Mytilus edulis: one gene and its partner. The protein of the gene in region 1 purifies or fractionates together with the protein of each later gene. This does not show direct contact. Links are inferred from orthologs where the notes say so. Each region holds a gene or a part of one and is shown on either strand. Other genes may lie near its edges. The genes, in order: syntaxin-8-like and vesicle-associated membrane protein 4-like.

Region 1 (16,798 bases):
GAGCAAATGCTTTGAAGTGATATAGAGAAGCTGTGATAACACCCTTTAGTTATTACAGGCATATTTTTTCTGTAATAACATATAGGTGTACTATTCAAAATTGGAATACTATGAACTGTTACATCTTTCAATAGTTAAGTATACATAAAGACAATAGTAATATCAATAGAACTTGTATACATTTTAACTAAACTTATGAAGTATATTGTCCCTTTGAAACATGTAACATACGTATGTTATCACATTTCTTTGATTTTTTAGTCCACAATAACAAATGTATGTTATTTTCCTGTAATAACCCTATAGAGTTATATCCCTGACTGACAAACAAACATGACAAAGTTTAATTTTGGACCCTTTGACCTCAATGTCAAAATGAATGTGGACTTATTTGGTACAATAGGGCGCAAAATCAAAAATCTAAATGAACAAAAGATGAATGGTACGATTCAGCATACCAAAGAATCCCATATTCAATTTTATTTGAATCCCATCAAACACAGTTTTATTTCGGACCCTGATTTGGATCAACTTGAACATGTTGAATACTGCACCCAAAATCAGAAATCAAATGACATGTTTAAATTCAGCATACATTGTATCTAAATGCATCATTTATAAAACAGCAAGAAATTTCATGAACTACAATGTAAATGGTGTGAACCATCTGACAATACCGGGTACCATTTCCTAAATGTTGTGACTACTAACCATAACCAAGGATTTGAAATTTCCCTATACAAATCCTTGACATGACTAAATTGTGAGTTGGATCGGGTATAAAAAGATCCAAACTTTTATTCTTAAATGACTAATAGAGGGTTATAATTGCCTATGTACATTTGCTACTTATAACTATGGACAGAACTGTGCCTATTATTGCTTATAATGTTTTATGTTTCATTACAGATGACCGTGGTCATTGTTCTACATTAAAGACATGTGTGAATAAATAGACATTGTTCTTATTTAACTAAAATGTGTGCAAAATTTCTGGATCCTTGGTTTTGATTATGAACTCTGATTTGACCATGTTGACTGTTTGGAAAAAAGAACACGACTTTCAATTCTATCCAAAATTGATAGAAATCATCGTCTAAAAATTTCAGATCCTTGCACAAACAATTACTGGATATTGATATTTCTACAAAAAGAGGTCATGGTAAATTATAAACATCTCCAGTCATAAAAAAGTATTTATCAAGTACCATGTACATTGTATATCAGAAAATCAAGATGCTCACCTCATCCTTAGCTAAAGGAATCCATGTTTCCATCAGCAAATCAAGTCTTGAATTCCTGTTTGATTTAGTGGTTTTAACAGAAATAAATATATCAGACTGAACTGTTTTCCTCATCACATTTTTAACATTCTGAATACGGTTCTGTTTTATTTTACCATTTTTGTTTACAATTTCATCTTTTCCCAAGTTTTCATCATCTGCAACAGAATTGACTCCATTTGTTTTTCTTTGGAATTTTATATGGTCAACCACCTGTTGTTCTTTCTGCAGCGATAACTGTCTTCTATAACTTCTCTTAACAAACTTTGTAAACACAATTTGCTTTGTTTGTATGCGTTCTGTATTTGTGACAGAAATTAATACAAGTGCAAGAATAAATGTGACAATCACAAGGAATAATTTGCAAATTCTTCGCAAAGAAATTCGCATCACTTGTCCACAGATGTTTACTTGTGTCTTTCTGCATTCCGACACATTACAATTCATGCAAGCAACCTGTACAATCGCATGCTCAGTAAACTTTCCCACGGTTGTAAACTTTGATTTACCTGGATCTTTGAAAAAAGTAGGTCAACGTATGAGCGATGTGTAAAAAGGTTAAAAAATATTTTAGAATCCAGTAGGGCAACAGTGTCAAGGTCAGATAGATGAGAAAAGGAAAGAAGTTAAATTGAAAATGTAAAAGATGTGTTCTCTCAACGTAAACTTGTTTTATTAAAAGACATGAACATGTAATGTCGATTTATTAGACTCTGTCACCTTTTTACTAACAAAAGAAAAAGTTTGATATTTTATGACAATATTTTTTTAATGAAAAATCATGAGTTGTTTGTATATACATGTATGTTGAGGCCAAGGAAGAGGCCACAACTCTGACATGAACACAGGAAGATTACATTTATCTATAAGTCTCCGCTTAGACTGAGAAATGGACCGATTTTAACACCGAGTGGTAGATTTATCTGAGCTAACATAACTTCTTTTATTTTTTTCAATTGATTCCTTGTACATAATAAATGAAACTTTTTACCCCAAATCCCTGACCTGAAATGAAACTTTAATCTTTTTATACAGATGTTCAGCTTATATTAGGCCTCCAGTATCACAACTTTTCATATATTGGATATTGAAAAATACTTAGTTATAGTTTCTTATTTGTTTTTAACCAAAAAGAGACCTATATGTATCAGGATTTTGTTATTCATAGATTTTCCAAAAAATATGATGCAGTTATAACTACGGTTTAATCGCATCTATAGAAAGTACCAAATTATATTTTGAATTGGGACTATATCACAGTATAATACTATAGTCTCGGTTTTAGATAGTCTAGTGAATACAACAACTGAAAATACAATATTATCAGTCCCGAAGGCAGTGCTTCGGTACCTTCACGATTCTAAACACACACTTACTTAATTTTCCGTTTATAAATTTAGAATTTATCAAGAGAATTTTTTGATTGTTCATATGTGCCGACTATTAATAAAAACATACTTCTTTACCTACTTACAAAGTTATAACGTGCTATTTTTTTTTATCATATATATATATGTTTCTTTTTAATTTCGCATTCTTATCATATATATCACGAAGCTTAAAATTGGTTCTTACTGGGTACTCCCGTCTGACCTGATCAGGAAATTGAATTAAGAAGACTTTGCTTAAAATTCAAATATCTTTTTAATAACTCGCTTCGTGGTGTTCAAACATGAATAGAATTGACAACCAACCTGAATGACCACAAGAAAAAAACACCTAAATACAACAAGAGTGTGTGCTGTCAATCAATAACACCTAATTTTATTGTACGATTTTTTTTTATGACATTCTTAATGAAAAGTAAAAAACAATTGTTCCAATGAATTTTTTTTTTATTACTTCTAATTCTAAAATAATTATACATCCTCCCTATATAACAATAAAAATTATTGCCGAAACGGCTTTAGAAAGTATGGCCGGTACGACGCCGAGTTTGGCCGAAACGACTGATTACGGCCGTACGGCAGTTTGGCCGGAACGACTGAGGTCGAGCGGCAATGTGGCCGAAACGACTGATGCCGTGCGGCAGTTTGCCCGAAAAGACTAAGGCCGTACGCCATTTTGGCCGAAACTACTAAGGCCGTACGGCAGTTTGGCCGATACGTCTGAGGACGGTGCGGCAGTTTGGCCGAAACGACTACGACCGTACGATAGTTGGGCCAATACGTATGAGGACGTTACGACTGAGAATGGTACGGCATGTACAACATGTAGAGAGCCTCTGTGTAGTGGTTAGTCCATCGGACTACTAACACAAAGGTTCCTGCATGGTTCGAATCCCGTTCCGGGATGAAAATTTCAGGGACTGAATTTTCGACTATCCATTGACACCTTTTGCGAGTATGGTCTTGAGGAAACGATGATAGTCTGTCGAAAGGGGACGATAAATGGCTGATACGTGTTAAGAGAGAGCCATATCTCTTGGACGTAAAAGGCACCCTTGTAGATTTCGTAAAAAGAGCAGGCTAATGCCGCTACAAGGCAGCACTCGCACCCGCAAAGTGGAAAGGGATTAATATAAGTTGCAAAACTTGTTTCCCAATCCACTATAAATAAATATGTTTCAACTAAACTAACGGTACGGCAGTGTGTCCGATACGACAAGGCGACTGCGGACGGTACGGCACGGTGGCCGATAAGTCCTCTCGAGTAAGTCCTCCATCGGGTGATCCTCAGATCATAGTCGGCTTATTAGTTAATCCAATTACATGACAGTAAATGGATATCAATAAAAGGAGGTGTCTGGTATGCGTCAACGAAACAGCAACCCAAACGTCAAAAATATCCAAAGTACATCTAAAGGTCTTTAGGTTCAACTAGACAAAGACAGGTGTTCACACAATATGTCCAACCCCAAGTTGTGCAGTAGACGACTCAAAACGTATTGACTACTGCACATAATTGGAGCTGACCGTTACATTATGTGACAATCTGGTTAATATTCAGATCTATCAGAATTCGCTTGCCCCGTCGCAATTATAAGAGGATATTGAAAACAGATCCATATTTTAGATAGATGAGATTGACAACAGATTTTTTTTGCGTTTGGAGTACTCGGTTTTCAACAAAAATCTGCACCAGTCATTAATCATCTTTATTCAAATGGAAGACTGGAAAACTTAAAGAAAGAAAGAAAGAAAGAAAGAAAGAAAGAAAGAAAGAAAGAAAGAAAGAAAGAAAGAAAGAAAGAAAGAAAGAAAGAAAGAAAGAAAGGAGCCGTTTACAGCTGAGTACGAGTGGATTTTGCTCGTTGTTGAAGGCCACACGGCCTTAACCTTATAGTTATATTTATTAAAAATCAGCCTACCATGCAGTATTGGTCACTGTTAAGTAAGTAAGCAAATGTTTGCACCTGTCCTAAGTCAGAAATCTGATGTACAGTAGTTGTCGTTTGTTTATGTAATTTATATGTGTTTCTCGTTTCTCGTTTATATATAGATTAGACCGTTGGTTTTCCCGTTTGAATGGTTTTACACTAGTAATTTTGGGGCCCTTTATAGCTTTTTGTTCGGTGTGAGCCAAGGCTCCGTGTTGAAGGCCGTACATTGACCTATAATGGTTTACTTTTATAAATTGTAATGGAGAGTTGTCTCATTGGCACTCACACCACATCTTCCTATATATCTAAGTAAGTAAGTAAAACTTTATATTTTGATTCGGTATATTGACACACATTACAAACATAAGCTCTAATGACTGAGCTTTTCACAGAATATGTATATAGATGCATGTCTCATAGACAATCATATCACATATCCTTGTTTTATACTGCATGGTACTGTTTCCATTGTTTTAAAGCATCTTAGTGAGGCTTGTATAGGGTATATTGGGATACGGGATATTTGCTATTTTAATTTTAGGAATATGGGATATTTGTCCTAAAAGTAAATGGGATATGGGATATTGATGCATTTATAAGGATATTGAATTTTTAACATGAAAAAAAATAAGTGGATTTAAAAGTTAAGTACAGAAATATTTACATCTCACTTGATAAAATTGCCCAAAAAAGTTTAATATTAAAGGTCATTTTAGTGCTTTGTTGATTTTAATTGAGTTAATGGTCGTTTCATTTAAAAGTCATCCAAACCCAAGCGAAAAGTATTGATCTATTTTCGATATTTATATGCTCATATGTACTAATAATTTTAAAAGCATTTGTTTTGCTTTCCATACTTCGTTCCTTATTGTTGATTTTCCTTTTTTGGATGGTGATGTTCCTTTGGCACTATCTTACAGTGTTTGTATATCACAACACCTCCGCTATGCCCGTGTCTGTTGTAACGTTTTGGATTTTAATGAACGAAATCTATGTATTACTGGTAAATAATATTAAGTCAGGGATTTCGTTACCACAAATCACTTAAAATCTTTACTAAATTCTAGATTTGGTTTTGAAGTTTGGTTCTACCTGTAGAAAATTTATTTCAAACGGGATAGCACATCCTCATTTTTACGGAGAGATGTTGTTTACCGTGCCGTTGGATGCTGGATGTGTAATGATTGATAATTTACTCTCAGATGCATTACTTTTTATTAGTTGTAATTGGCTTTGAACTAGCTGTCAGTAACTGCAAGTACTCTCAGATCTGTACTTAGTGTCTTTTTGTTGATGGGATGTACAAGTACTCGGTCACGTCCACTCTCTGTTTTTGTTAGATGTATTTCTGTTTATATCCATCTGATGAGTTAAGCCCTTTACAACTGATTTGTATAGTTCGTTCTTATGTTGTACTGTTACACCACTGTCCCAGGTTAAGGGAAGGGTTGGGATCCCGCTAACATGTTTAACCTCGTCACATTCTGTATGTATGTGCCTGTCCAAAGTCAAGAGTCTTTAATTCAGTGGTTGTCGTTTGTTGCTGTGTTACATATTTTTTTTTTATACATAAATTAGGCCGTTAGTTTTCTCGTTTGAATTGTTCTACATTTGTCATTTCAGGTCTTTTTATAGCTAACTATGAGGTATGAGCTTTGCTCATTGTTGAAGGTCGTACGGTGATCTATAGATGTTAATTTCTGTGTCACATGGTCTCTTGTGAAGAGTTGTCTCATTGGCAATCATACCACATCTTTTTTTTTTATATTATATGCTCATATGCATTGATAATTTTCTTGAAATAATCATAGATTTTTGTTAGATGTAGCCATCTGATGAGTTAAGCCTTATTGTTGTCAATGTTTTTATTTGTTTTGATGCTTTATATGATTACAGGATATTTTCTAGTGTTTTGCCTCTTATTTTTTACGTGACGTGGCGAGGATCTTCAGAGATCTCCACGTTTCACAGATTGCTCTGATGTGCAACGGCTGTTTTGCCAGACAAGCTGGGGCCGAGGGACGTCAGAGCACGTCCCATATCAAAAAGTAGATATTTTGCTGTATAAACTATGTACTAGTAAATAAAGAATAATTACTATAATAATCAATGTAAATTAATATATTTTCTTCTATTACTGGTGTTGTGAGGAAGGAAATTTAAAAAAAAGTAACAAACATATTGGGATCTATGTAATTCATAAAGTTCAAGATCACAGAGTCAAATGTTGTTTATTTCTTTGCAAAACAAGGGCTGTGCAAATTTTGCCTGCTGTAAAAATATTGCAACAGTTAAGTGTAATGTAGGTAAATTAGCAGAAAGCTTTCTTGTGTTAAATTTTGAGTTATTGAACTTGCATGGTAAATATCCAGTTTTTGATATGGACGTGCTCTGACGTCCCACAGTCTCAGCTTGTCTGGCAAAACAGCCGTTGGATGTCAAAGCAAGAGACAGGGTTCAACTTGAGTCCTTCTGTTCTTTCCAACATAGGTTAACGTGTAGGATGAAGTTTCTTATCAATGAAAGAAGAATGCTATCAAAATTATATTTTACAGTCATATGCATCACGGTTTGAACAATTAAAAAAAAGTCTGAAATTAGACCCCTTACACTAAATTTATCGTTTAACCTCACATAAAAAGAGATTGTTATACAAGGCTCTAAGATGGAACACTTCATCTTTTGGACACATACATTGTATATTCTTATTTAATACTAGAAGTATGCACTAAATTTCCTTTAACACAGTTTGTTTTCCCAGAGTCAAAATTTTTGACGTTGTGATGATGAGGAAAAAAATGGGCTTGGGAATGAATTTATAATGAATTTTTGGGATATTTCAAAATAGTTTTAGGGATATGGGATATTTGTAAAAAATATTTATTGGGATATTAGGGGTAAACATTATAGGGATACGGGATATTGGGATAAAAACTTAATGGGATACGGGATATTGATACCCCCCCTAAACAAGCCTCCTTAGTGTATGGCCTAACTCGGAGAATAGATCCGTCTAATCAATTTCTTAAGGATTGTTTGCCATAACCGAATCCACATCAAACCAGGCACATTTCTCATCAAACAAGTAGGCTAATAGATTACTAATACACTAGTCTTTGATGTCTTAAAAAATCAGTCTGGTGTATATATTATGGGTCTCACTAATTAGCGACAACAAGCGTCAACAAGCGACAACAAGCGTCAACAAGCGACAAGAAGCGACAACAAATGAAACATTTGTGAGAAAGAAAGAGATTGTGAAGTTTATATTAGTATATTGGTAGATGAAGAAATTTAACATTTGTGAAAAAGAAAGAGATTGAGCTTCTTTTTTTTTATTTTTAAATATGAAGAATATGTATAAGATAATGTATGAATCTGTTTTCATCAAAGTCAAAGTATGAATAAACGAATGGAGATATATATGGAGCGGGCATAATGGAATATAATATTTTGATTCATTTGCTTAATACTATGCTCTAAGTGTACTCTTGTTATTTCAATTCGATGCTTTATTTGTAAAACTCTCAGCCACGCTTTGCCATCTGTATTATTTAAGCGTGTTTCCAGAGCCCACGACGAGGACGTGGTTCTACCTTGGGGTCCATATACAGATCACGTACTTTTGCGGGAAAAAAAACCCCAAAAAAGGTCAACTTTCCTTTGAAGGATTTATTGAAACAAAAACATGAAATATTATTTCCTTTCTAACAGTATAATTCATTGTTCTTGATAGGAACAACATTAGATGTGGCTTCCCCTTAAGGTAATAACAGTACACACAATGTGGAACATCAAATGAGATTAACGAGTCGCGTGTCCCCTGTTTTATTGCTACAATAACATCCAATTAACACCTTCAACTTTGTACACACGTCAGACTATACAATTACACGCTAGACTATACAATCATTGTAAATAGTGAACACCTGTTGAAAACTCAAGATTGTCATTAATTTCCTTTCATCTTCAATCAATATGCATAAACATGATAAATATCGTTTAATGAGGCAATAAACAAATAAAAAGATGAAAACATTCACATTTCAATTTTCTTTTCCTCCTGTTTGGTTTCAGTTCTTTGTATTTCACAATTTGTGTCAATATTTTCAGGACAATGATGCACAAGTAATTCATTTTGCGAGCTTAATACATATTGCACGAAAAGAGTTTTAAAATACAAATTATAAGATAAATAATATGTTTTAAAACACAAGAAAAAGTAATCTCATAATACAATAATTAAACGTAATACTGGCTGTTATTCATAATAGATGTAAATAATGTTTCATTTTTTTCTATCAATTTTAACTTTCTTGTCGCTAAAATTATTTTCTTTTGCATATTCTTTTAATATTTATTGCAATAATTAATTTTAATTAAAAAAAATGTTTTCTTGTCGCTAAATAACAGCTAAATAGTTTCTTGTCGCTTGTTGTCGCTAAAATAATTCTTGTTGTCGCTTCTTGTCGCTTGTTGACGCTTGTTGTCGCTAAAATTCTTGTTGTCGCTAATTAGTGAGACCGTATATTATTATTTTATGTTTCTTTAATCACTCTGTAATGTTTATGTCATGTTGTAATAAATGTTATACTCTTAATGGGCCTTTTAATTTGGAAAATAAAAATATTATATTGTATTGTATTGTATTATATAGTCCATTATTTTTTAAACCAGCCAAATAACTTATGTACGGTCTGAGACTGCTATAACACAGAGTTATAGTAGTCTCAGGTACGGTTTTTATCCGCTGATCGATATTACAAATAATAAGAAAAAATTGTTTTGATTTATTCAAGGATTTATATAATAAAATTTATTGTAAATATGTTCTTGGACCAACTTATGTATACATGTATTGGACTAAAATTGTGTTTAGGGTTCAGTTCCCATGTACCTCTTACAGTGACCAACAATTATAGCCTAAATAAAGTCTTACCTTTATTCATTCTAATGTCAATTTGTAAACTTCCGATCACAAGATGGCAAGCGATACTTGGTTAGTAATGTTTAGTATATATATAGCATACAAAAGCTATAGATAAAGGCATGAAACCTACTTAATATCTTTCCTCAATAGTAAAATGATTTGTCGAGATACACATTCAGTAAACGTTGCTTTCATGTAAAAAATAACCAGTGTTTTAAAACAAAAACAAAAAGGGGGAGGGCAGTTTCAAAGCTCCTGCAACCGATAATATTTTTTACATTTATATATTACACTTGAAAACACTTCTTAAATGTAAGTTATATGATTATATAATAGTTGTTCCTGTTCTCTTGTTATAAATCAGATTTTGACACATTTACCATTTTAAGGTTCATGTGGACCCTATGGCTAAAATGGCCGTATTTTCACCTCAAAATTTACTCTGAGTACAGGCAAACCTGTACATCTGGAAAAGTTTTAAGGCATAGCATGCCCTAGATAAATAGAATTCAAATGCATTGTATGATTTAGAAAATTCATAACTTAACTGGATTTTGCCGTACACTTTTTTTCGTCCCTGCAGAAGATGATAAAATGAACAAACAGTTGAGTTTACCTTGATATGGTCCACTCAGGTACACAGTTTAAATAACCAATTATTGTCAGGTATCTATTGTCCATCTCATGTCCATGTCAAGCAATACAGCTCACTTCAATTATTACCTGTGGGGAAGTTCTCAAACCTGTTTCCCAACTTAGTTTATTTTGGCACCTTCTGGAGGAATGAAAAAAAGTGCACGGCAAAATCCTTGTAAGTTTTTATTTTTCTAAAACATAAAACATATTTTAAATTTATTTATCTAGGGCATGCTATGCCTGAATTTTTTTACAGATGCGCAGGTTTGTCTGTACTCAGAGTAAATTTTGAGGTGAAAATACGGTCATTTTAGCCATAGGGTCCACATGAACCTTAAGTAATATGAGGCAGGCATTACCTGTGAATGGGGACGAAGTCTGTATGATTTTTTTTTTTTTAAATCAAACATGTTAAAAAGAGAAATGGAAATACCGTAACGTTTCCGATTTTGGTTCTGTTGTTAAGGATTTTGGTTGTGACGTTATTTAAGTTATGACGTCATATTCAATGTAAACAAAGAAACGCTGTCATCAGGTAATGCAGTGAGGTAATGTTTTTTTTTTTTTATAACAAACAATTTTTAAAAATGAATTAGTATTAAGTTCCTTTCTTAGACTGATAAATATACATTTAATTCAAAGTCTCACATGTCTCATGCAAACAAGAACGGAAATGGAAGTAAATTTCTGCGCAGATCCGGAAATTCAAAATCGCGACAAAAAAAAAAATGGAATAATTTTGAGTTCATTAGTCCACACCAAATTAATTAGTAGTTCTTTGGAAAACCCGCACCTAAATTGCCGAAATTAAAATAAAAAAATAAAAATAAATATCCCACACCTCACCTGCCAACACCAAAAAATAAAAATAAAAATAAAATTCCTGCACGTTGAAAATAAATCCGCATTTTCGACGAACTCGATTCCGGTATAAAAAAAAAATCTTTATCAATTAAGCGTTTGAAAATATACAGTGTTTGTCATTTGTCAAGCATATTTTTGATTCTGAACAAAAAAGTTGCAAAGATGGAAAACATGCTGATTGTTTCTGTGGTGAAACATTCAGACAAAAATAACAACAAGGCATACATATTAAAAAATACGGCAACACAAACAAAATGTCAGACATTCAGGGAACTATATCAAGAAGCCTTAGTTGAAATCTTAGTTATAACATAGGCTTATAAATGGAGGTTATGTAGGTATTTCCATGTTGGTATGTTTTGGTGTAATTATGCCCCACCTACGATAGTAGAGGGGCATTATGTTTTCTGGTCTGTGCGTGCGTTCGTCCGTCTGTCTGTCTGTCTGTCTGTCTGTCTGTCTGTCTGTCTGTTCGTTCGTCCGTCCGTCTGTCCCGCTTCAGGTTAAAGTTTTTGGTCAAGGTAGTTTTTGATGAAGTTGAAGTCCAATCAACTTGAAACTTAGTACACATGTGCCCTATGATATGATCTTTCTAATTTAAATGCCAAATTATAGTTTTTACCCCAATTTTATGGTTCACTGAACATAGAAAAGGATAGTGCAAATTTCAGGTTAAAGTTTTTGGTCAAGGTAGTTTTTGATAAAGTAGAAGTCCAATTAACTTGAAACTTAGTATAAATGTTGCCTTTGATTAGATCATTCTAATTTTAATGCCAAATTAGAGAATTTATTCCAATTTCACGGTCCACTAAACATAGAAAATGATAGTGCGAGTGGGGCATCCGTGTACTGTGGACACATTCTTGTTTATTTTCTGATATTTAATTGTAAAGTAGCACTAGCTAGAACCCCCAGTTTCCACTGTGCTTGGATTGACTGGTTAGTGATCCATATGCATAAACACAAAACACACACCATGCAGTTATGTTACAAGAAGCTAGCTAGCATACTACAGAGGGTGTCTAAGGACCAGAAGGTGCATATACTACAGATGAAAGCAGTGCATATTAAAAGCAGATAGCCATATAAAGTTCATGCATAAAAAAATATGTTCAAAAGTGTATATTTGTGCAGTGTTAATTATACAAACAACAAAACAAAATGAAAAAGAATGCAGAAAGTTGAAATACATATAAAAAGGGAGATAATTTAATTATATCAAATTATGTCCCCTTTCAATTTAGTGAGTTGAAAATTCAGTTGCTTCTTTTAGGTAAAAGATATAAAAATTGAGAGAAAAAAATATCGCTCGCTCCATATTTCTTCAAAATTTGAGGCGAAGAATTTAAAAATATAAATTTAAATTTCGCTCGCTCGCCCCATTTTTTTGGGTTAAAATCTCAAAGAACTATTAATTAATTTGGTGTGGCCTTAGTACAATGAAAAATTCGAGAAATTTTCCTGATTTTTAATTTTTTTTATTGAATTTTCTACTGTAATACATGTAATAGGGGAATTCATCCCCATTTTATTATTTTTACACTTATCAAAAATAATGTTTGAATAATTTGACTGTAATTGATTTTTCAGGTTAAAAGACTATGAAGCCTGTGCTAGTGTTGGTCAAGAACTTATGGTTTTGATCAATGATAGAAATAAAAATGGTCGCACAAGTTCTACATACACAAAGGTAAACAATATGTGTAAAGAAGCTATGGTTAACTTTAGAATCAATGCTTTTGGAAAAAAAGACAAAACATATCAAGGGGACGATAAAAGCTCATAATTTAAAGAAAAATATAGAATAAACACACCATGGTAAAAGAAATACAATCATCAATAAAACACAACATTGGTAACTAAAGATTGAGGAACACTAATCCAACAAAAAAAGGGGGTGCTCAAAAGGGTAAACAGTAATTCGCCGTTTCAGAATCTAAAGAATCATGGGTAATTTCATTGTTCGTACCCCAAAATGAAAATAACGCCATGTCATTGGTTAAATTTCTATTGTTTATGACATTTTTAACCAATCAGGACGTTGTGGTGTACACTTTTGAAAATATTACCCATGATACATTAGATTCTGAAACGGCGAATTAGTTCTCACTCCACATGTAGCACCTGTCATGTTACTCATGTAAGATCAAACCCAGTAATAAGTCTCTGTGATGTCATAGTCAAGCAACATGTACATGTATTGGTGTCTTTTAAACTTTCAAAGGGATGAACCCTTCAATGATTTCCTGTGTGTACTAATGGCTAAGGAAGTCATGATAGGAAATGCAACTTATGGAATGTTGCTACATAGATGAAAGAGTTTGAGCGCTGCTATCATTTTCTTATGTTGTAAATTTTTGTTCTCAACCAACCCTAGATGCCAATCTCTTGATTTGAGTCAAGATGTTGCAGTTTTCATAAAAAATATAATTATTGTTAAAAGGACCATTTGCTGTTTATTGAGTGTTAACCACAAATGAACTGATACATGGATGATAAACAGTTAGTTATAACTAATATAACAGTTTACTTATTTATGTTTTGTAGTTTTCTTAATAAAAAAAAGTTCAAATATAATTTTTGCAAACATACAGTAAAAATCTACGGGAGCATCTCAAGTATTACAGGCATAACCACAGTATTTCCAGAAGAAAAAAAAAATACAATTTAAATAATTAGATTTATGAAAAAAAATAAAAAATATTTCAGCAAAATGCCAAGATATAAATGAATATTTTATTAATTTCTCTTTATCTATCTTTAGCTGTCAGCACAAATTAGAGTTAAATTGAAAACATTCTCAAATGAAGTCAACAAGCTGAGACAGAATTTGATACGAGCATCATCATCATATCATATGTATCCTTTGGTTTATATTATTGAGTGTGTTTCAGTCTACGAGTTATAGCAGTGTGTGTGTTTTTATTAATTCATATCAATTTTATAAATTATATGTCATTTAACCCTGTTTTGGATTTGGAATATACTATTTTTCTTCTTCGACTAACTGACTAATGGGAAATAATAAATGCATGAACTGGAGTGACAAATATTATCGTCTGAATTGTTTTATAATACATGTATGTAAAGATTGCATAAAATGCAATCAAAACCTTGTGGGACCGACTTGATATCTAAATCTTCCAAGGCTTATCACTACCTTTTTGATACACAAGATATAGTGCATTGATCCTGTTACATCCTATCAATGAACATTTCTAGAAACTTATTGATGTAATATATGCTCAGATATTCAACATGTTCAAGGCACAAAATGATGTAACACTTGTCAAGAAAATTACATTACTTTTGCAAGGTGCAGGAATCTTGTATCTATTCTTAAAATACAAATGAAATCTAAATGATGTCATTGTTTTAACAGATACAAAGACCCAAAAACATAATGCCCCTAAGTGGGTCATAAAAATCCTAAATTAGTAGCCTTAACTGTAATTATTAGAACACAGAGAGAAGTTGAACGTAGACAGATGTTAATTGATAATTTAATTACTAAAGAAAAACAGATAAATGAAGCTTTTAAAAATGAAGGTAGTAATTCTAGGTGAGTAACTTGAATTCAATGTTTTAGTTTCATTATAGTTCAAATTGTTTGTTAGTGATTTACTTTTGTATGGCCTGTGATGAAAGTCGCAGAAATTGAGACATGAATGGTTTTATTAAAAGCAGCTACAACTGTTAAGTTTGCTGCAAACCCGGCCACATTAAATTAATAAGCAATTTCAAATGTCAAGTGTTCTGCATAAGAAACTTCTTGTTATAGACCAATGATATTTTATATGAAGTTGCATTACTACCAGAAAACATCAGTTTGAAAGACTTTTTCAAGGCCATGGAGTCAATTTCACAAAAAAAAACTTATGGCTAAGATTGGTTGTACTCTGAATCCATTTGTCAGAGTCATTCAATCTTGTCAGTTCAATTTTTTCATTACAGAAATACGCTGATTGGTACAGATACATTTGGTAATAATGATCCTTGGGGTGTAAAAGATGAACCTGAAGACTTCCAGGGAAGATCTAATACTGAAGTCAGAACACAACAGCAGCAAATTATTCAACGTAAGATCTATTAGTTGATTACACAAAAATCTCAGAGATTGATTTATCTTTCTTCAAACCGTCTCAATAGTCTAATGGCATCATGCTCTTCTCAAGTGAAGGAGGTCTAAGTTTTTTTGAACCCAGATTTATGAAAAAAAATTAAGAAGTGTTACATGTCTTTCTGAGGACTGCAACTTTATGAACAAACACAATAAAAATGTTCTAAAGCTTGCAAATGAAAAATTTAAGATGTTCACATCTTGAGTGCAGAACAATCAAAGCTCACATGCAACAGAAGGAGTTTTTATATATCAGCCATAGTAAAATGTTTACATGAAACACAGATTTGATCCTGATTTGCAGATATCAAAGTTGACATTTAAAACTAACATGCTTTGTATGTAAAATGTTTTAAATACATGTAGTTATATTTTAACACTTTCATACTCATACAAGTTTTTCAGTTTTTACTAAAAAGAAACTAATGTTGTAGAGTGAAAACTACCAAAAGTTATTTATACCAGAATGAATTTGCAATCAAAATATTTTGCATAGTTTCCTTTTGTATGGTTGAAATCTTTAACATAGTATAATTTGGTAATTTTCAGAACAAGACAGAGGTCTAGAATCACTTTCTCATGTTATTACTAGGCAGAAACAAATGGCCATAGATATAGGTGATGAAGTAGACAGTCAGAATGGTAGGTATTATCTCATCTTTTATACTTCTAAAGGAAGAGACTGATTTTAATGAGCCACATCTCCTCTGAAACCATACAAATTCAGAAATATTTGTGATACGATGTATAAATCAAAATGTAGTGTTTGGTACTTCCTAAATTTGTCTTTGAAACAATCTTGTTTTCCACAGAAAACACTTATCCTTGAGAAAATATCCAAATTCAGAGACTGTTAAAGATCCATGTCTTATACACTTTAGAGCATCCTCAGTTGATTCCTGTGTGTAAGGTCACCAGATTTTACATAGCTTATACAGTTATCGAGTGAAAGAGTTAAAAACTACTGAAAATCACACTTTGCCACACTTTTCTTAGGGTATTTGATATATTTATTTTCCAACCTAGATAAATGGGGTTTTGCACATTATGTTCATCATTTTCATCTCTTTAAAGAAATAGAATTGAATGCATTAACCATGTCTAAATTTTCACTGCATCCACCTTATACTGTGTCCACAATCTTTGTTTCAACACTTTCCCAATTGTACCGTGATTTCATGGGCATCTTCTAGTATTTCTAGGTATAAGTAATGATCATAGAGATGCACACTTATTGAAGGGGTATGATTGTATAAAGGGTAAAATTTAGGTCAGGGCTATCCAGATATAAATGGATGGGGGTGTCAACATGCATAAAATTTAAATTGATGATTTCATATAATTGTTAAGGATATCCTCCTAAAATAATCACCACTCATCAAATTTGATTTACAGTGCCTTATGACCCTCTCCATTTGATTAAAGCCTCAATGAAATTGTGGGTATCAGATGGTTTAATTCCATGTGTGCATTCTGTTTACATATTATTCAAAGATTATGAACTTGAATTTCATGATCATAAATAATCCTCACTTCAGTGATTACTTGTATATCTTACCTCCTATACATTTCTAGGAATATGATTGGTTAAAAGCGTCTGCATGGAGACCGTGTATATTTCATATTAGATTTAGTAGGGAGAT
Region 2 (16,803 bases), on another chromosome or scaffold:
CCTTTCTGATGTCGTTTCTGATTGGTAATTTAAAGAAATTTTATAATACATGTATCTGGAAAAAAAACATCATAGATTATTGACTTTTTAATTGTCGAAAATCAATTGAATTAAACTTCAAAGTAGATTTGATTATTTTGAATTTCTAGTGGTTAACTTTCAAGACTTTTGGTAAAAAAAACTAAGATTATTTAACATCTTTTTAGCTGTGATTTTGTCATTCAAATTTTTGTACATAAGGTTTAAAACAGCATACACTAGATGAATTTTGATTAGTTATTTGTAACTCGATGATGTCAGTGTAAGTTTGTCAGCATGTATTTAGTACATTTGTTGTGTCATGTGACATGATATCCCACCTTCTTATCATCGTTGTACTTTTCTTTAAGATAGTCCCATTTGTAAAAATGTTCTATGACAGCTGTACATTTGATATTATTAAAAAAAAATTACACCATTCTGTGTTTTATATCTATGTCTGCCTTTACCTATGCATTTAAATTTATCAATGAAAACACTTTTTTTTTTTTTATATCTTTTTATGCCCCACCTACAATAGTAGAGAGGTATTATGTTTTCTGGTCTGTTTGTCCATCTGTATGTTTGTTCCTTCGTCCGTCTGTCCTTCTGTCTGTCCTGCTTCAGGTTAAAGCTTTTGGTCAAGGTAGTTTTGATGAAGATGGAAGTCCAATCAACTTGAAACTTAGTACACATGTTTCCTATGATATAATCTTTCTTATTTAAATGCCAAATTAGATTTTTTTAACCCAATTTCACGGTCCGATGAACATAGAAAATGATAGTGCAAGTGGAGCATGTTCTATGGACACATTCTTGTTTTAATTTGTCTTGTAATAAACAGAAGTGGTAAATGGTTTTGTATGAACTAAAATTATTTGGTAATATTTTGGTATGGATGTGTTGTCTACCAATAGACTGTATTTACCTTGCTTATACTGATTACAAAATAATTCTTGTTAGTAGAAAAATAGCGCAATCTAGTTCATCATGAATATTCTAAACTATGATTTTCTTTGATATAAATACATCAACAAAGTTGGAAAACCTAAATGAAATCTATATCAAAAGTTAATATCAGCAAGGTCTTCGAGGAGTGAGATAATGAGTGTTTATAACCTATTTCTATGCCCTTGACCGTCTGTATGTACGTACGTATGTCCAAAAATTGGTTTCTGTTCTCTAACTTGAGTTTGCCTCAACCAAATATTATGAAACTTATACACAATGCTAATAACCTCAAAACACAGATCAAGTATCAATTTTGGTGGCGTCACTTTCTCCGTTCTAGAGTTCTGCCCCTTTCTTTATAAATGGAAAAATTGCTTAATTTTTGGAAAGATTGGAACTTGTTCTAAATCTTTCCTTAGGCACTGGCCTTCCTAACAACACAACAGGTTAGCTACTATTACTGCATGTATTCACTCTGAAATATAGTTCCCTATAGTTCTCATGTATTTGCACATAATACACATATAAACTGTGAAAAATGGGTATATTTTTGGAGCAGTTCATTCAATAATGTATGTAATTAAGGTGTGTTGATGTGCAGGCTTGTTTTAAGCATTTTGATTAGGTAATTGAGTATTGATACAATACTAGTATGATTGACAACTGTCATTATCACCAAACAATCAGGGACAAGGTGAACCGTAAATTACAATGCCCCACCTAAACTGTCAATCAAATTGACCACATTACATCAGTGTTACAAAATTGTATAGGCCCAATAAACATCTCAATACACAAATGTATATATTAAATGTTTGATATATAAGGATGATAGATTTATTTATTGCCTATTACTTTTGATCTACATTACATAAAGTGATTCTGTAAATTATGTCTGAAAGATAAATGATTAATTAAGGATTAATTAAGGATTAACACGATCTTTAAAAAAAAATGAAATATAAATATAAATATGAATATATAAAAGGTATTCAAGTTAGGCCTTTAATTTACTTGATAAATTTCCAATAATCATCTGTAATAAATCAACAATTTAGGTTAGTTCACTTTTTTTTTTATCAGAAATTGGCTTGATGAACAGTTTTAAAATTTTAAAACTTTTATTTATAACAAACCATTTTTTAGCTCACCTGGCCCGAAGGGCCAAGTGAGCTTTTCCCATCACTTTGCGTCCGGCGTCCGTCGTCCTGCGTCCGTCGTCGTTAACTTTTACAAAAATCTTCTCCTCTGAAACTACTGGGCCAAATCAAACCAAACTTGGCCACAATCATCATTGGGGTATCTAGTTTAAAAAATGTGTGGCGTGACCCGGTCAACCAACCAAGATGGCCACCACGGCTAAAAATAGAACATAGGGGTAAAATGCAGTTTTTGGCTTATAACTCAAAAACCAAAGCATTTAGAGCAAATCTGACATGGGGTAAAAATGTTTATCAGGTCAAGATCTATCTGCCCTGAAATTTTCAGATGAATCGGTCAATCGGTTGTTGGGTTGCTGCCCCTGAATTGGTAATTTTGAAGAAATTTTGCTGTTTTTGGTTATTATCTTGAATATTATTATAGTTAAAGATAAACTGTAAACAGCAATAATGTTCAGCAAAGTAAGATCTACAAATAAGTCAACATGACCAAAATGGTCAGTTGACCCGTTTAGGAGTTATTGCCCTTTATAGTCAATTTTTAACCATTTTTCGTAAATTAAAGTAATCTTTTACAAAAATCTTCTCCTCTGAAACTACTTGGCCAAATTAATCCAAACTTGGCCACAATCATCTTTGGGGTATCTAGTTTAAAAAATGTGTGGCGTGACCTGGTCAACCTACCAAGATGGCCGCCACCGCTAAAAATAGAACATAGGGGTAAAATGCAGTTTTTGGCTTATAACTCAAAAACCAAAGCATTTTGAGGAAATCTGACTGGGGATAAAAATGTTTATCAGGTCAAGAACTATCTGCCCTGAAATTTTCAGATGAATCGGTCAATCGGTTGTTGGGTTGCTGCCCCTGATTTGGTAATTTTGAAGAAATTTTTCTGTTTTTGGTTATTATCTTGAATATTATTATAGTTAGAGATAAACTGTAAACAGCAATAATGTTCAGCAAAGTAAGATCTACAAATAAGTCATCATGACCTAAATGGTCAATTGACCCCTTAAGGAGTTATTGCCCTTTATAGTCAATTTTTAACAATTTTCATTAATTTGGTAAATTTATGTAAATTTTTACCAAATAAAGTTCTCTGTTACTAATGGGCAAAGTTCATGATAGATATAATTGTAAGAAGCAAAATCGTTCAGTAAAGTAAGAACTTCAAACACATCACCATCACCAAAATACAATTTTGTCATGAATCCATTTGTGTCCTTTGTTTAATATGCACATAGACCAAGGTGAGCGACACAGGCTCTTTAGAGCCTCTAGTTATTAATTTATTCCCCATCAATCATTATACATGTCTATTTTAGTCATTTGAATTTTTATAAGAAGTGGATATATATTTTTGCTATCAAGAAAAATCTGCATTTCAATAAAATAAGTTTTTTAATTTGTTTACTTTGAAAAACTACATTTTCAATGCCCTGTGCTGAATAAATACTTTATAAATTGATCAAAAGGCACTCTACAACTTTTAATCTTTTAAAAATGTCATATAACCTATGCGTCAACTTACAAAATGCCCCAAAATGAAATTATTAGATTATATTTGTTGACACTTTAAATTTCAGTTGTTGGTCCTTAAAACATGTAAAAAACAGGCAACATTATTTGGATAAGATATTAACTGCAGTTTCAATAAAATTGTGCAAATTTAGAGACCCATATTATTTTATTTGAGCTCATTTTATCTTCATACTGGAAAAGCACTTTTATTCCTGCTAGAACCCTGCTGTTAATGCAATTTTCAGCAATACTGTTTTATTAATGTTCTTTTGTCCCCACCATACCTTTATATGAAATTGTTCAAACTACTCTTCCAATCTTTCCACAGGTGTTATCTAGCACTTTGATTAGTTTCCATTCTCTAACTTAAGTTTGCCTCGACCAAATGTTATGAAACTTATGCACAATGCTCATTACCACAAAACTCAGATCAAGTTTGAATTTTTGTAGAGTCAGTTTAACCGTTCTAGAGTGATGCCCCTTTATGAATTAAAAATTTGCTTAATTTTTAGTTTCCGTTCTCTATTAAATTAAGGTTTGCCTTAACCAAATGTTATGAAACTTATACACAATGCTTATTACCACAAAACGCAGATCAAGTTAGAATTTGGTAGCATCACTCAAATGGTTCAAGAGTTTTGCTCCTTTAAAAGTGGAAAATTGCAAAATTTTGAGTTTCCGTTCTCGAACTTTAAGTTTGCCTCAACCAAATATTATCAAACTTGTACACAAATAAGTTGGGTCACTATAACCATTATTGAATTATGCCCTTTATAAATGGAAAAAAATGCAAAATGTTTAGTTTCTGTTCTCTAACAAGTTGCCTCAAGCAAATGTTATGAAACTTGTACACAATGCTTATAACCACATAAACCTAAGTTTGCCTCAGCAAAACATTATGAAACCTATACACACTACTTATTACCACAAAACTCAGATCAAGTGCAATATGGGTCACTTTTATTGTTCCTGATTTATATCCCTTTATAATGTTGTATGCAAGCTGGGGCATTTATTAAAGAAGTTAAGCTACTGGGAAATTGATATATGGAAAATTGCAGTGAAAACCATTGCTTTTAGGATATTTAATTAAAAAAAATTAGGTTACCTCCTCCCCCCAAAAAAAGATAACTAAAATAATTGGGCGGTTTACCAGTCTAGCATGAACATCATGCCACAAAATGAACTCCAGTATAGAAGGCAATATTATATTGGGATAGGAAATGTGATTTATCTTATTTTCAAGATGGCAGAACTGGCTATTCTATATAATATACAATGAACATTGTATCACACAACAGTATTATACAAAGTGCACATCATACCACAAAATGAACATTATATTACAGAGTAAACATCATACAACAAAGTGAACATCATGTCACAAAATGAACATACAAAGTGAACATCATGCCATAAAATGAACATTGTTTCACTTAATAAACATGTCACTAAATGAAGATCATGTCACAAAATGAATATTACATCACAAAATAAACATTTAATCTCAAAATGAACATCATACAACAAAATGAATGCAATGCCACAAAATGAACATTCAAAGTGAACATAACACAAAATGAACATTAAATAAAAAATGACCATATATATCACAAAATGAACAATATATCACAAAATGAACATCATTTCACAAATGAACATAATGCCTCCAAAATGAACATTTAAAAATAAAAAATAAACACTATACTATATACTATCCCATAGCGAGTGTGTCTTAACCCTTTGATTTTACAGACAAACAATTATAGTATTTGTCTCGATAAATCTGATCGGTGATGGGCGTGATGATGATGAGCCAGATTTTGCCGTACGCCGGATATACTGATTGTTACAAGTAAGTGTAGCCTCATTATTCACACGTTTCCGGTTTGATCACAACAAAACTGACATCTGACATGTATTTCGAAAAACCTCTGTAAATCACCACAGGACTCTGTCATTTGATAAAAAGTCAACAATTTTATAAAATGCCACCAAAGTTCGTCAGACAACATGACAATATGGATTCTAACCGAGCCAGAAGCGCTGAAACGGTATTGTACATATAGCATCATCCAAGTCCAAAATGACTTTTTTTTTATGTCTGTTGTCATCTATCAGAAGAAAATAAAGCACTTTTCACTGTTTAAAACATTTTGAGTGTTGCACTTCGCCCTTCAACATTAGAAAACAATCAATCATGCATAAGACGGTCATCAAAATAACAATGTGTGACAGATCAAATGCAAGAAACCAATGTCAGGCAATGAGCACATGCACATTGTTTGTTTATATTTTTGCATAAATCCTTGTCTTGCTTTTTTTAGATCACTTTTATGTGTACAGTTCTTGCCAGGTTGTCTAATCACCTTCAAAAATGAGCTAAAAAACATCAAACCATTCAATAGAAAAAAATTAAGGCCTAATTTATAACAAAACCATTGATCATGTTGATGAAAAAAAACCAAATATTACAGACAAGAACCAATGAAAACCACTGAACTGCAGGGTCCTGACTTGGGACAAGCACATACATTTGTCAATAATGTGGCAGGTTTATTTATGTACATTGTAAATAATCTTTAACATATGCTGTTTGGCAACAAGGGTTATGGTTATTTTTCGAAAAAAATAATTCTGATACCCAATATGAAATGTATGATGAAAAATAATTATCTGGCCAAGCAGATGACAAAAAAAGTATTCTGAATCCCCCATACCTTACAGTATTAAAAATTGAAAAAAATTATTCGATTGATAGCTTGGAAAAGCTAGAAAAATAATTTTGAGCTTTGTAGATAAAAAAAAAATAACACCTCCTCTCCCCACCAACCTGAAGTTAAATGGTTGCTTATTTAGTCCTTAGTATGGGGTTTTGTGGACTTTTTAAAGTTAACTTTGCACTTAGATCTTATTTAAGGAATTTCCAATGATGTAGCCATAAAAATATCATTTAAAGCTTAACATCTAAGTATAATGGCCACCTGTCACACACTAATGATTTAATCAATAATTTCTCCACCTGACTCCAATCTTACCAGGTTTACATTGAACATCTAGTTCTATATACATATGTATATGTTTCTTCTCTATCTGAGTAAATGTCTAAAAATAAAAATCATCTAAGAATTTTAAGATGATTGATTGCTGGTTGCTTTATGTACAGTAGCAAATATTTCATGCTTTTCAAGAAGAGGAGAGGAAGGATTTTAAGATTGTAGACTTATGATTTAGTAAGACAGAATCTGAAATTGATAAAAAATGTGCCAGTCTATTTAAGTCAGTTTGGGAGCACCTCATCAAATAAGGAAGCCTTTTAAACAGATAACAGCCATACAGCATGAACAAAGACTTATATATTTTTTGTATTTACCACCAATTAAGTTACTGAACTAGTGACTTACAAATTTTTCCAATTGTGTGAAATTTTTTTCCAATTGTATGACATATGTTCAAGAATCTTTCATTTCTGTGTTCTTTAATTTTTAAGGTAGTTTTTCTCTATTAGTTATCTTTCTTAATTAGCACCCTCTGTTTCTCTAGATCTATATTATTTATGTTTTTTGACAATTTTTCTGTAGATTTGGTCCATTATTCTCTATTCTGTAAACTCCATCCAGAACCTCATGTGTAGATAATTATATATTGGTTGTGGAAACAACATGACAAACACATTGCTTATAGATAATACACATGATACAGAAAGCAAAAAAAGAAAGTTGAAAATTGTCATAGCACTATTTACCAGTCAATTCTGCGAACAAAATAATGTAAAATTGTCGCCCAGCACTGAAATTAATTTAGTGAGAAAAAAAATCAAGGTGTAATGAAGTAAAATGATACATTTCTAGTATAACCTACTGTGGATTCAGTAATTTTCATGGCTGTAGTAAAATTTGCATTTTCATTGATATTTGATTCAATGTTTAGCCAAAGTCTACATACAGACCTATATAAAATTTGAACTTCGTAGGACTTCAAATTCCATTGTTTACTTAAACCCAAAAAATCAACAAAATTAATAAATAAAAGACAATATTTATTATCACAAACACATTTACATTAACTGGTTATGGCATACAGTATTGAGACAATAAACTAAATTAATATCCTATCAATAAAAATGAATCCACTGTATATTAAGGGGGGGGGGGGGTGTCTCATCACGATTCACAAGTTGATTTTTTTGTCAATCACGATTCACAGAAAATAAATTTCCATGATCACGGATCAAGAAAATATTAAAAAAAAAATGTGTAGAAAATCGCATCACGATAGCGAAAGTGTGCCGATCACGAAGAAGGAAAATAACCCATCAGACCCCTCACCAATTAGTAACCTGTGACAAAATTCTTACATATTTCAGCCTTATTAGACATATATATGGTTGAGTTACCTGATAATCCAACAGCTTGGTTTGTTGTCTTGTGTTTCTTCAAAGCAAGTCAGTCCTCATTTGGACCACACTTTTACTTTACTTCTACACAACATGTATATGTGTAATATATACCATTATTTATTTTGCAGAGAGCACTTCTTGATGGAAATTCAGATGAAGAAGATTTCTTCTTGAAGTGAGTTTTTTCCTGTAGCATTTACATGATGAGTAGCAATAGCGTAAAGTATAAAATATATTGCATAGCATTGCAATCTCTTCTGGGTTCCTTTTGCTAGTTTAACCCCTATTGCATCAAAGGTATAACCTCATCTTGTTAATAAAAACAAATGAGCAATTGTTGCTTATTATAGAATTACTGTAGTCCTATAGCATGTAAAGTAAGAAGTAAAAATAAACAAGCTTAGTTTAAAGTATTTGATAATTTATTTTCTTTATGTATCTCACTGGTAAATTCTAATGTCTCAAAATATTGTTATACATGCATGTATGTGCATTTTCATTCTGGGAAAATATAGAGAAAAAAATGTGTTTCCTAAATAATCATAGATTTTTTTTTTTAAATTATAATAAAATCTTGTTTATTAACACTTAATATGATTAATGTTATGAAGAACCAGTTCAAAATTATCACTTTATATACCATTCTTTAAAATTTGTAGGATATCATGTAGATTTGACTTTTACATAGCAAATATATTACAACTGCTTATTATAGTGTTTTGAGTAATTATGTATTTGAGGTTTTGCTATTGTGCTAATAGGTAAGATTTGTCATGCATACATATGCTGTGTATTTATTCTTACAAATGTTTATATTTATTTGTAGAGGTCCAAATGTCAAACCCGGAAACATAAGGAGTGATCCAAAGATAAACAGGTAACTATAAAAATCAAGGAATGGTCCAAAGATTATTATTTATTCGTCCTACCGATGAAGTCAAAGGAGACTTTAAGTTTGCACTCTGTCTGTCTGCCTGTTCCATGAATTATTTTTCCTCACATTTTTCTTAGGAACTACATTAGAAGAATTTCAGATATTTTGTTTCAGGGTTTATATGAGTCAGCTATACCTTGTGATGCATTTTCACTCAACAACTTCCTGTTTACTGAAATATTTTGGCAGGGGTATCATAAGTGAGCTGTAGATCACAGTTTCACTTGTTGTTTTTGTGTAATTTTCAACCATACCACATCTTCTTGTTCTCATATAAGTATTACCATTTATATAGGCAATATAGGAAAGGTATACTGACATAAGAAGTCTCTAAACACATTAACTCCAAATGGAGCTTTCGTTAGTAGAAGCCATATTAACTATGTGTATCAGTGAGAGAAATGTAAAAGCATAAAAATATAGTATATATACCAATACACATAATTAACAGCGCCTGGTGATGTTTCATAGCCTGACCGGTTTCGGTCCAAAAAGGACCTTCATCAGAGGCAGAATGGTGGATTAATGTTTGCACCCTATTTATATAGATATGGTAACCGGCGGTTGAGATAACCGGCAGTTGAGATTAAACCGGCGGTTGAGATTTAACCAGCGGTTGAGTTAACCAGCGTTTGAGATTTAACCGGCGGTTGAGATTAAACCGGCGGTTGAGTTAACCAGCGGTTGAGATTTTACTGGCGGTTCAGAGTTAACCGGCGGATCAAAGTTATCCAGTGGATAAATATGTATCTGGTTGATGTCTAAACAGGTTAAATTATCCTTTCAGTGAAAAATCCTCGTGGGGTTTCCATGGTTACAGTTATCTATATTTAGCTAATGTATACGTTACAGTAAACTTTTTGACATGTTACAGTAAACATTTATTTTGACATTATACGGTAATGTCACCTAATGATATAACCATACTTGGGCTTTAGCATTGGGTAAAGGGTGTTTTAATAATTTAAGAAGTACATGGTAATCATTTAGTCTTGATCTTTGGCTTATGATACACCTAAATATCAAGTCTTGGAATAGTATTTCATGGTAGTTATGTGATCTTAATATTTGGCTTATGATACACCTAAATATCAAGTCTTGAAATTGTACTTCCTAGTAGTCATGCAGTCTTGATCTCAGGCTTATGATACACCTGAATATCAAGTCATGAAATAGTAATTCATGGTTGTCATGCAGTCTTGATCTTTGGCTTATGATACACCTAAATATCAAGTCTAATAATAGTATTTCATGGTAGTCATGCAGTCTTGACGTTTTAGCTTGTGATACACCAAAACATCAAGTCAAAAACCCCCCTTAAACCAAATTTTGTGACTACCATGAAATACTATTATTAGACTTGATATTTAGGTGTATCATAAGCCAAAGATCAAGACTGCATGACAACCATGAATTACTATTTCATGACTTGATATTCAGGTGTATCATAAGCCTGAGATCAAGACTGCATGACTACTAGGAAGTACAATTTCAAGACTTGATATTTAGGTGTATCATAAGCCAAATATCAAGATCACATAACTACCATGAAATACTATTCCAAGACTTGATATTTAGGTGTATCATAAGCCAAAGATCAAGACTAAATGATTACCATGTACTTCTTAAATTATTAAAACACCCTTTACCCAATGCTAAAGCCCAAGTATGGTTATATCATTAGGTGACATTACGGTATAATGTCAAAATAAATGTTTACTGTAACATGTCAAAAAGTTTACTGTAACGTATACATTAGCTAAATATAGATAACTGTAACCATGGAAACCCCACGAGGATTTTTCACTGAAAGGATAATTTAACCTGTTTAGACATCAACCAGATACATATTTATCCACTGGATAACTTTGATCCGCCGGTTAACTCTGAACCGCCAGTAAAATCTCAACCGCTGGTTAACTCAACCGCCGGTTAAATCTCAAACGTTTGTTAACTCAACCGCTGGTTAAATATCAACCGCCGGTTTAATCTCAACCGCCGGTTAACTCAACCGCCGGTTACCATATCTATATAAATAGGGTGCAAACATTAATCCACCATTCTGCCTCTGATGAAGGTCCTTTTTGGACCGAAACCGGTCAGGCTATGAAACATCACCAGGCGCTGTTAATTATGTGTATTGGTATATATACTATATTTTTATGCTATTACCATTTATATACTTTACAGATTTCAGGGCCAAGTAAACTATTACCAATTATATACTTTACAGATTACAGGGCCAAGTAAATGAGGTTATTGATGTGATGCAGAACAATGTTGCTAAAATTGTTGACAGGGGAGACAAACTTGAAGATTTACAGGATAAATCAGGTAAAGGGAGACAAACTTGAAGATTTTCAGTATAAATCAGGTTAATATTTTTGACAGGGGGAGACAATCTTAAAGATTTTCAGGATAAATCAGATAAAATTGTTGACAGGGGAGACAATCTTAAAGATTTTCAGGATAAATCAGGTAAAATTGTTGACACAGGAGACAATCTTGAAGATTTACAGGATAAATCAGGTAAAAATGTTGACAGGGGAGACAATCTTAAAGATTTTCAAGATAAATAAGGTAAAAATTGTTGACAGGGGAGACAATCTTGAAGATTTACAGGATATATCAGGTAAAATTGTTGACAGGGGAGGCAAACTTTATGATTTACAGGTTGAAGGCGGAGACAATCATAAAGATTTTCAGGATAAATCAGGTAAAATTGTTGACAGGGAGGGGAGGCAAACTTTATGATTTACAGGTTGAAGGCGGAGACAATCATAAAGATTTTCAGGATAAATCAGGTAAAATTGTTGACAGAGGAGACAATCTTTAAGATTTACAGGATAAATCAGGTAAAATTGTTGACAGGGGAGACAATCTTAAAGATTTTCAGGATAAATCAGGTACAATTGTTGACAGAGGAGACAATCTTGAAGATTTACAGGATAAATCAGGTAATACTATTTGTTTTACCTTTATTTTGCATAAATTTCAATGTTTGCATAAAAAGATATCTAGCAGAAACAGAGAGGAAGACACATATTAACATTTGATATATTAAAAGTTCCAGGTCTGATTTCGTTTTACACACACAAGCATAATTGCAACCCTCCTGTTTTTAGCAGGAGACTCCCGCTCAAATGGCTTAATTAATTCTGGAAATCTCTAGTTTGCTGGTCTGCTCTGCGCAGGAGTATAAAATCTCTGACTTTCAGATATTTTAACCCAGATTGACCAGTCTGACAACATTTATTATGTTTTTTGTCACCGATGAGCCATGGGTAGGTGTTACCTGTAAATCACAGACCATGTGAAATTGAATGGCTTTACTGGCAAGGTTACTATACTAGTAAACTAGTATTGACCATGCCAGTGGTAAATATCGGTAAATACCGGGAAAAACTGGCAAATACCAGCAAATACGGGTCAATTGAAATTTTGAGTGGTCACTACTATAAAAACCACTCTCTACCTGGTCAATTACTATTAATTAAAGTGTTCAAATCATTTTTAATGGCTTTCATTTCTATTCCTCTTGTAAATTCTTTGAATACACAGTGATTTACATTGATTGATAAGTAAATATTATAATATTATAGTAACAGTACAAAATGTTTTGTCCCCCAGAAGCTTCAAACTTTCCATTTTCAGCATGAAAAAGGATTTTGTCTCACAGTTAAGCAGACAGGAAATATTTCATTATTTATGGGAGTCTTCAAATATCTCTTTTATCACCCATGTATTGTCAACATTTATTGGGGGCTGTTGTTTTAGTAATTAAATTTTCACACCTAGCAATCCAGGTAAAAGGTAAAAAGATGCATGTAACTTCATTTACCTGTAGTTTAATTTACCATTACTTGTAATATCATAATTCATAATAACTTAATTTCAAATAAGTAGTAATGAGTGTTATAAATTAATAAAACATATCAAATTCAGTAATCTATAAAAGCTGACACTTGTTTTTAAGATTAAAGTTTAAATCTATTTGACTTTTTATTATGTTTTTACTTCAATTAAAAGTGAAAACAACCATGAAAATTTCAATTGACCAGTATTTGCCAGGATTGACCACTTGGGGAGTATTGTCCAGGGCGGCAAATACCGGTAAATACCACTGGTAAATACCGGGGGGCTGTATTTACCGCCCAACCTTGGGTGTCAAATATAATACAATTAATGTTACATTAACGTTGTTTGCCTCAAGCCTGGTGTATTTTGAAAACACTTCAAAGAAATTTCGGGTGACTTCCTATGTTTAATCATGTTTTAAGTAAAATAATGTGGATTAATAAAAGAATATAAATTAAATACAAATTGAACAAAGAATCATAAAAGGATTGTTATTTAATGATTTGAATGTCTAAGGACAAATAAAAATTAAATAGATCTATACTTCTTTTCAATGTTTAATTTGAAATTTATAAGAAATGTTTTGAACTATTTGTAAATGTTGACCATGCAAGGCTTGTATAGCCAGTCAAGGTCGTTAAACACTTCCACCATCATCATGTAAATGTTGGCCTGAAGGGACACACCTATCTTTTGATAAAAAGATACTTTAGCTGGAAATGTCAAATGTCCAGTTGAGGCTAGACAACTCTGTCACATGTACACTCAGAGGTATTGAAAAGGGGGGAAAAAAACCTAACAACAACACACCTTGTATAGGATATAACCATGATTGAAGAAATAAAGTATGTTTGGTGTTTTGTAAATAAATAGATAAACAGGTCATATTTTTCACTTGAAAATGCGATTTACACAAAATCTCTCCCTCTTTCAAGGTTTCAGAGGTTGGCAGGTATGCACAAATCACATGATACATCAGAAATATATTCAGTGTGGAGAACAGTATAATTTTAGTAGTTCCTTGGTTTTTGTTAAAATAATATTTCATTGTTAGAGTGATCATGTTGACAAATATATTCAGTCTAACCACATTTACAAAATATAATTTGCATCAATAACAAATATGCCTTCTTTGATAAATCTTAAAAAAAGAATGTTTTATTCACAGAAAATTTAAGTGACCACGCAGATATGTTCAGATCAAGAGCTAAAGGCTTACATAGACAAATGTGGTGGAAAAATTGTAAGGTAAGAATTTTATGTAAGAAGCAGGACATTCATGAAATACAAGTATGACCAATTAATAATAGTTCTATATAAAAAGGATAAGAGGAAATACTAAAAATACTCAATAGCCACAGATACCTGGCTGTTCCAAATTAAAAAAAATGTATAAAATAAATAGCAGTGAGCTACAACTATAAATAACTGTTGATTCAAAATACACTTAGACACAGATTTCCTGTGTAACAGGAGCAACAAATACACACAAATTTACACATAACAACACGGTGAGTTACAATGACATGCCTTATTTGGTATAAAGAATCATTGTAAGCTGTACATAATTATTTGACAAGGGTCACCTGACTTCATTTTCACAACTCTCATATTTATGTCAAGTAATCATGATACATAAGTAAGATCTTGATCTCAAAAATTTTCAACATTTTGTTCCTCATGAATAAATTAGCTGAACATTTCATTTTGTTAAACAATGAATATTTTCTTGATAGTATCTCTTTTCTCGTTTTGTCTTTTACATAGTGTGGTGCAATATGTATGAAAACCAATAAATGTAATGTTGTTTTTTTTTTAAATTTTAGATGAAAATAATAATAGCTGTGGTGATTTTAATTTTACTTGCAGTCATAATCAGTGAGTAGAACATATTCAGGATCATTTCTGAGAATTTTGTATAAATGTATATTTAATTTTGAAATTTAAACAAGATTATATTACTTGGATAATTACATTAGATGTATGTTTCTTTATTATACAGTTATTTTGATTGGCTAACAGCAATTTTACGTCCTTCTGAAACTAACATTCATTACACAATAAAGATGATAGGAGGTCCAACAATAAAGTGCACAGGTTTATTAAAGAAAATATTGATAGAATTGGAATTTCATGATCCTAGCTAAAAAAATGTAATAAGTATTGAATGCTTCTTTTTGTAACTTCATAGGGCTGTAAAAGCGTTGACCATCCGCACTTCATACAAAATGTACTTTGGTCAACACTTTTACACCCCAATGAAGTTACAAAAAGAAGCATTCATTTATAAATTAAGAAGGATAAACCGGCAATACAAATATAAATATTATCCTTGGTTGACTCAAACCCTATATTTATGTTGCATCCCTCCAACTTTTAAGAGTCTGTTCTACATGCGGTCTCTTTATTTAAGCTGGTGAAAAACTATACCTTCAAACTCTAGCATTTTAAACATGGTAAGAAAATTAAATTAATAGTTTATAGGAGTAATGAATTTTATTCCAAGTGCTTCTCTTGACTTTCTCAAGAAAAGCTAAAAAAAAAAGTGAAACTAGCTAAATGACCAAAAGGTACCTGAAAAAAGTAGCCAAATTCATCTAAGATAAACTTTTTGTTTTTTAATGATTTCTAAATTATCAGCAGAGAAATTACAAAGAGCATATTATGAAAAAACATCAATAGAATAAATTGTATACCCAATTGAATTTAGTGGTCTCTTATGAATTGATGTTGCAAACTTCATTGAAGATTTATGAGAGAATGAAATACAATAGGAAAAATCTGAGACACAGTTTTGGAGGTCAAACTGTGTTGAGCAAGAATCTGAAAACATTTGGGATGCTATGAATAACAAAGAAGCTAAATTCATTCAAGTATGGACATCACAATATGGCAACTAATTACATAACAATTAATTATGTAATAATTACGTCATAAATGAAATTATCACAATTTGAAAGATTAATCCTTCTGCTTTCTTTTGGTGCCTCATTTATAAAATTTAAAGAAAGATGAGTGGAACTACATCAGTTTAAAGATGTCTGATTGGGGATGAAAAATCTTTGTATTGTGCTATCACATATAAACATATGCTTCTTCTTACTTTCATGCAGACAGACATAGACCACCAATTTTCATATTTTTTTATTTTTTTGTCATTGATTAAAATTTATGTTTTCTTTGATTTATTTTTCAGTTCCAATCATTGTAAAGAGTTCACAGAACTGACAATTGGTGCAGATATAATAAGATTGGTGATTTTTCAAGACATTTTATTTATTTATTTCATTTTACTGTGATGCCATTGTTAACAAAACCTTTTATGTATATGTATGATTTGTTATTATATGTAAATTTTGAATTACATGTATATTATGTTTTATGTTTAACTATGTTTTATTTATAACAATAGTTTCATATTGAAAAATGCACAGAGCCATATTAAACAAACAAAAAATTGATACTCATCCAACTCTTTTAAAAAATTTGGGCATGATTACAAATTTAACTTTGATTTTTATGGCATAATTCATGAACATTGTTAATATGAAATATTAAAAGTGATCAGAAACCAAAACTCAATAACAGTTAAGATGGAGCAAGATGAAATAATGATTTATTATTATAATTTCTAGCAATCAACATTAATCTTAAATATATAATGATGCAAACACGATATACTCTTGTAATTTTCAAAACATAAAAAATTGTCTGAAACCACATATAAGCTGATGTGAAGCAAAGTGGTCATCCAATGGCCTTTGAAAGCTTAGAATAAGATATGGGTTTGTCTCATTGTGGAAGGCTGTATAGTGACCTATAGTCGAAAACATCCACATCCTTATCCAAAATGCATAATCTCTTCTCCTCCATTTTGTGAAGAAAGTTTATATAAGGTCCTCTGTTTTAGTTGTTAAGTATATAAAGTTACAAACACATACTCATCATACATCTTAGCTCTA

The links.
Region 2: the proteins of syntaxin-8-like (region 1) and vesicle-associated membrane protein 4-like purify together in Homo sapiens (co-immunoprecipitation; 3 studies listed by BioGRID and IntAct, counting the BioPlex papers as one, with this or other methods). This does not show direct contact. The link is inferred for Mytilus edulis from reciprocal best matches to the Homo sapiens genes STX8 and VAMP4.

The regions. Positions count from the first base shown.
Region 1 is NC_092352.1:44,206,738-44,223,535, forward strand, and holds the start of syntaxin-8-like, read left to right. Parts: upstream 1-9,504; 5' UTR 9,505-9,587; coding exon 9,588-9,604; intron 9,605-12,625; coding exon 12,626-12,725; intron 12,726-13,799; coding exon 13,800-13,894; intron 13,895-14,495; coding exon 14,496-14,597; intron 14,598-14,989; coding exon 14,990-15,114; intron 15,115-15,704; coding exon 15,705-15,797; intron 15,798-16,798. Other genes in the region: beta-1,3-N-acetylglucosaminyltransferase radical fringe-like, read right to left, coding at 1,245-1,730. UniProt on the Homo sapiens protein: Vesicle trafficking protein that functions in the early secretory pathway, possibly by mediating retrograde transport from cis-Golgi membranes to the ER.
Region 2 is NC_092345.1:21,931,338-21,948,140, forward strand, and holds the start of vesicle-associated membrane protein 4-like, read left to right. Parts: upstream 1-5,512; 5' UTR 5,513-5,638; coding exon 5,639-5,704; intron 5,705-8,177; coding exon 8,178-8,224; intron 8,225-8,875; coding exon 8,876-8,926; intron 8,927-11,216; coding exon 11,217-11,317; intron 11,318-14,009; coding exon 14,010-14,089; intron 14,090-14,667; coding exon 14,668-14,719; intron 14,720-16,037; coding exon of another isoform or gene 16,038-16,069; exon of another isoform or gene 16,070-16,803. UniProt on the Homo sapiens protein: Involved in the pathway that functions to remove an inhibitor (probably synaptotagmin-4) of calcium-triggered exocytosis during the maturation of secretory granules.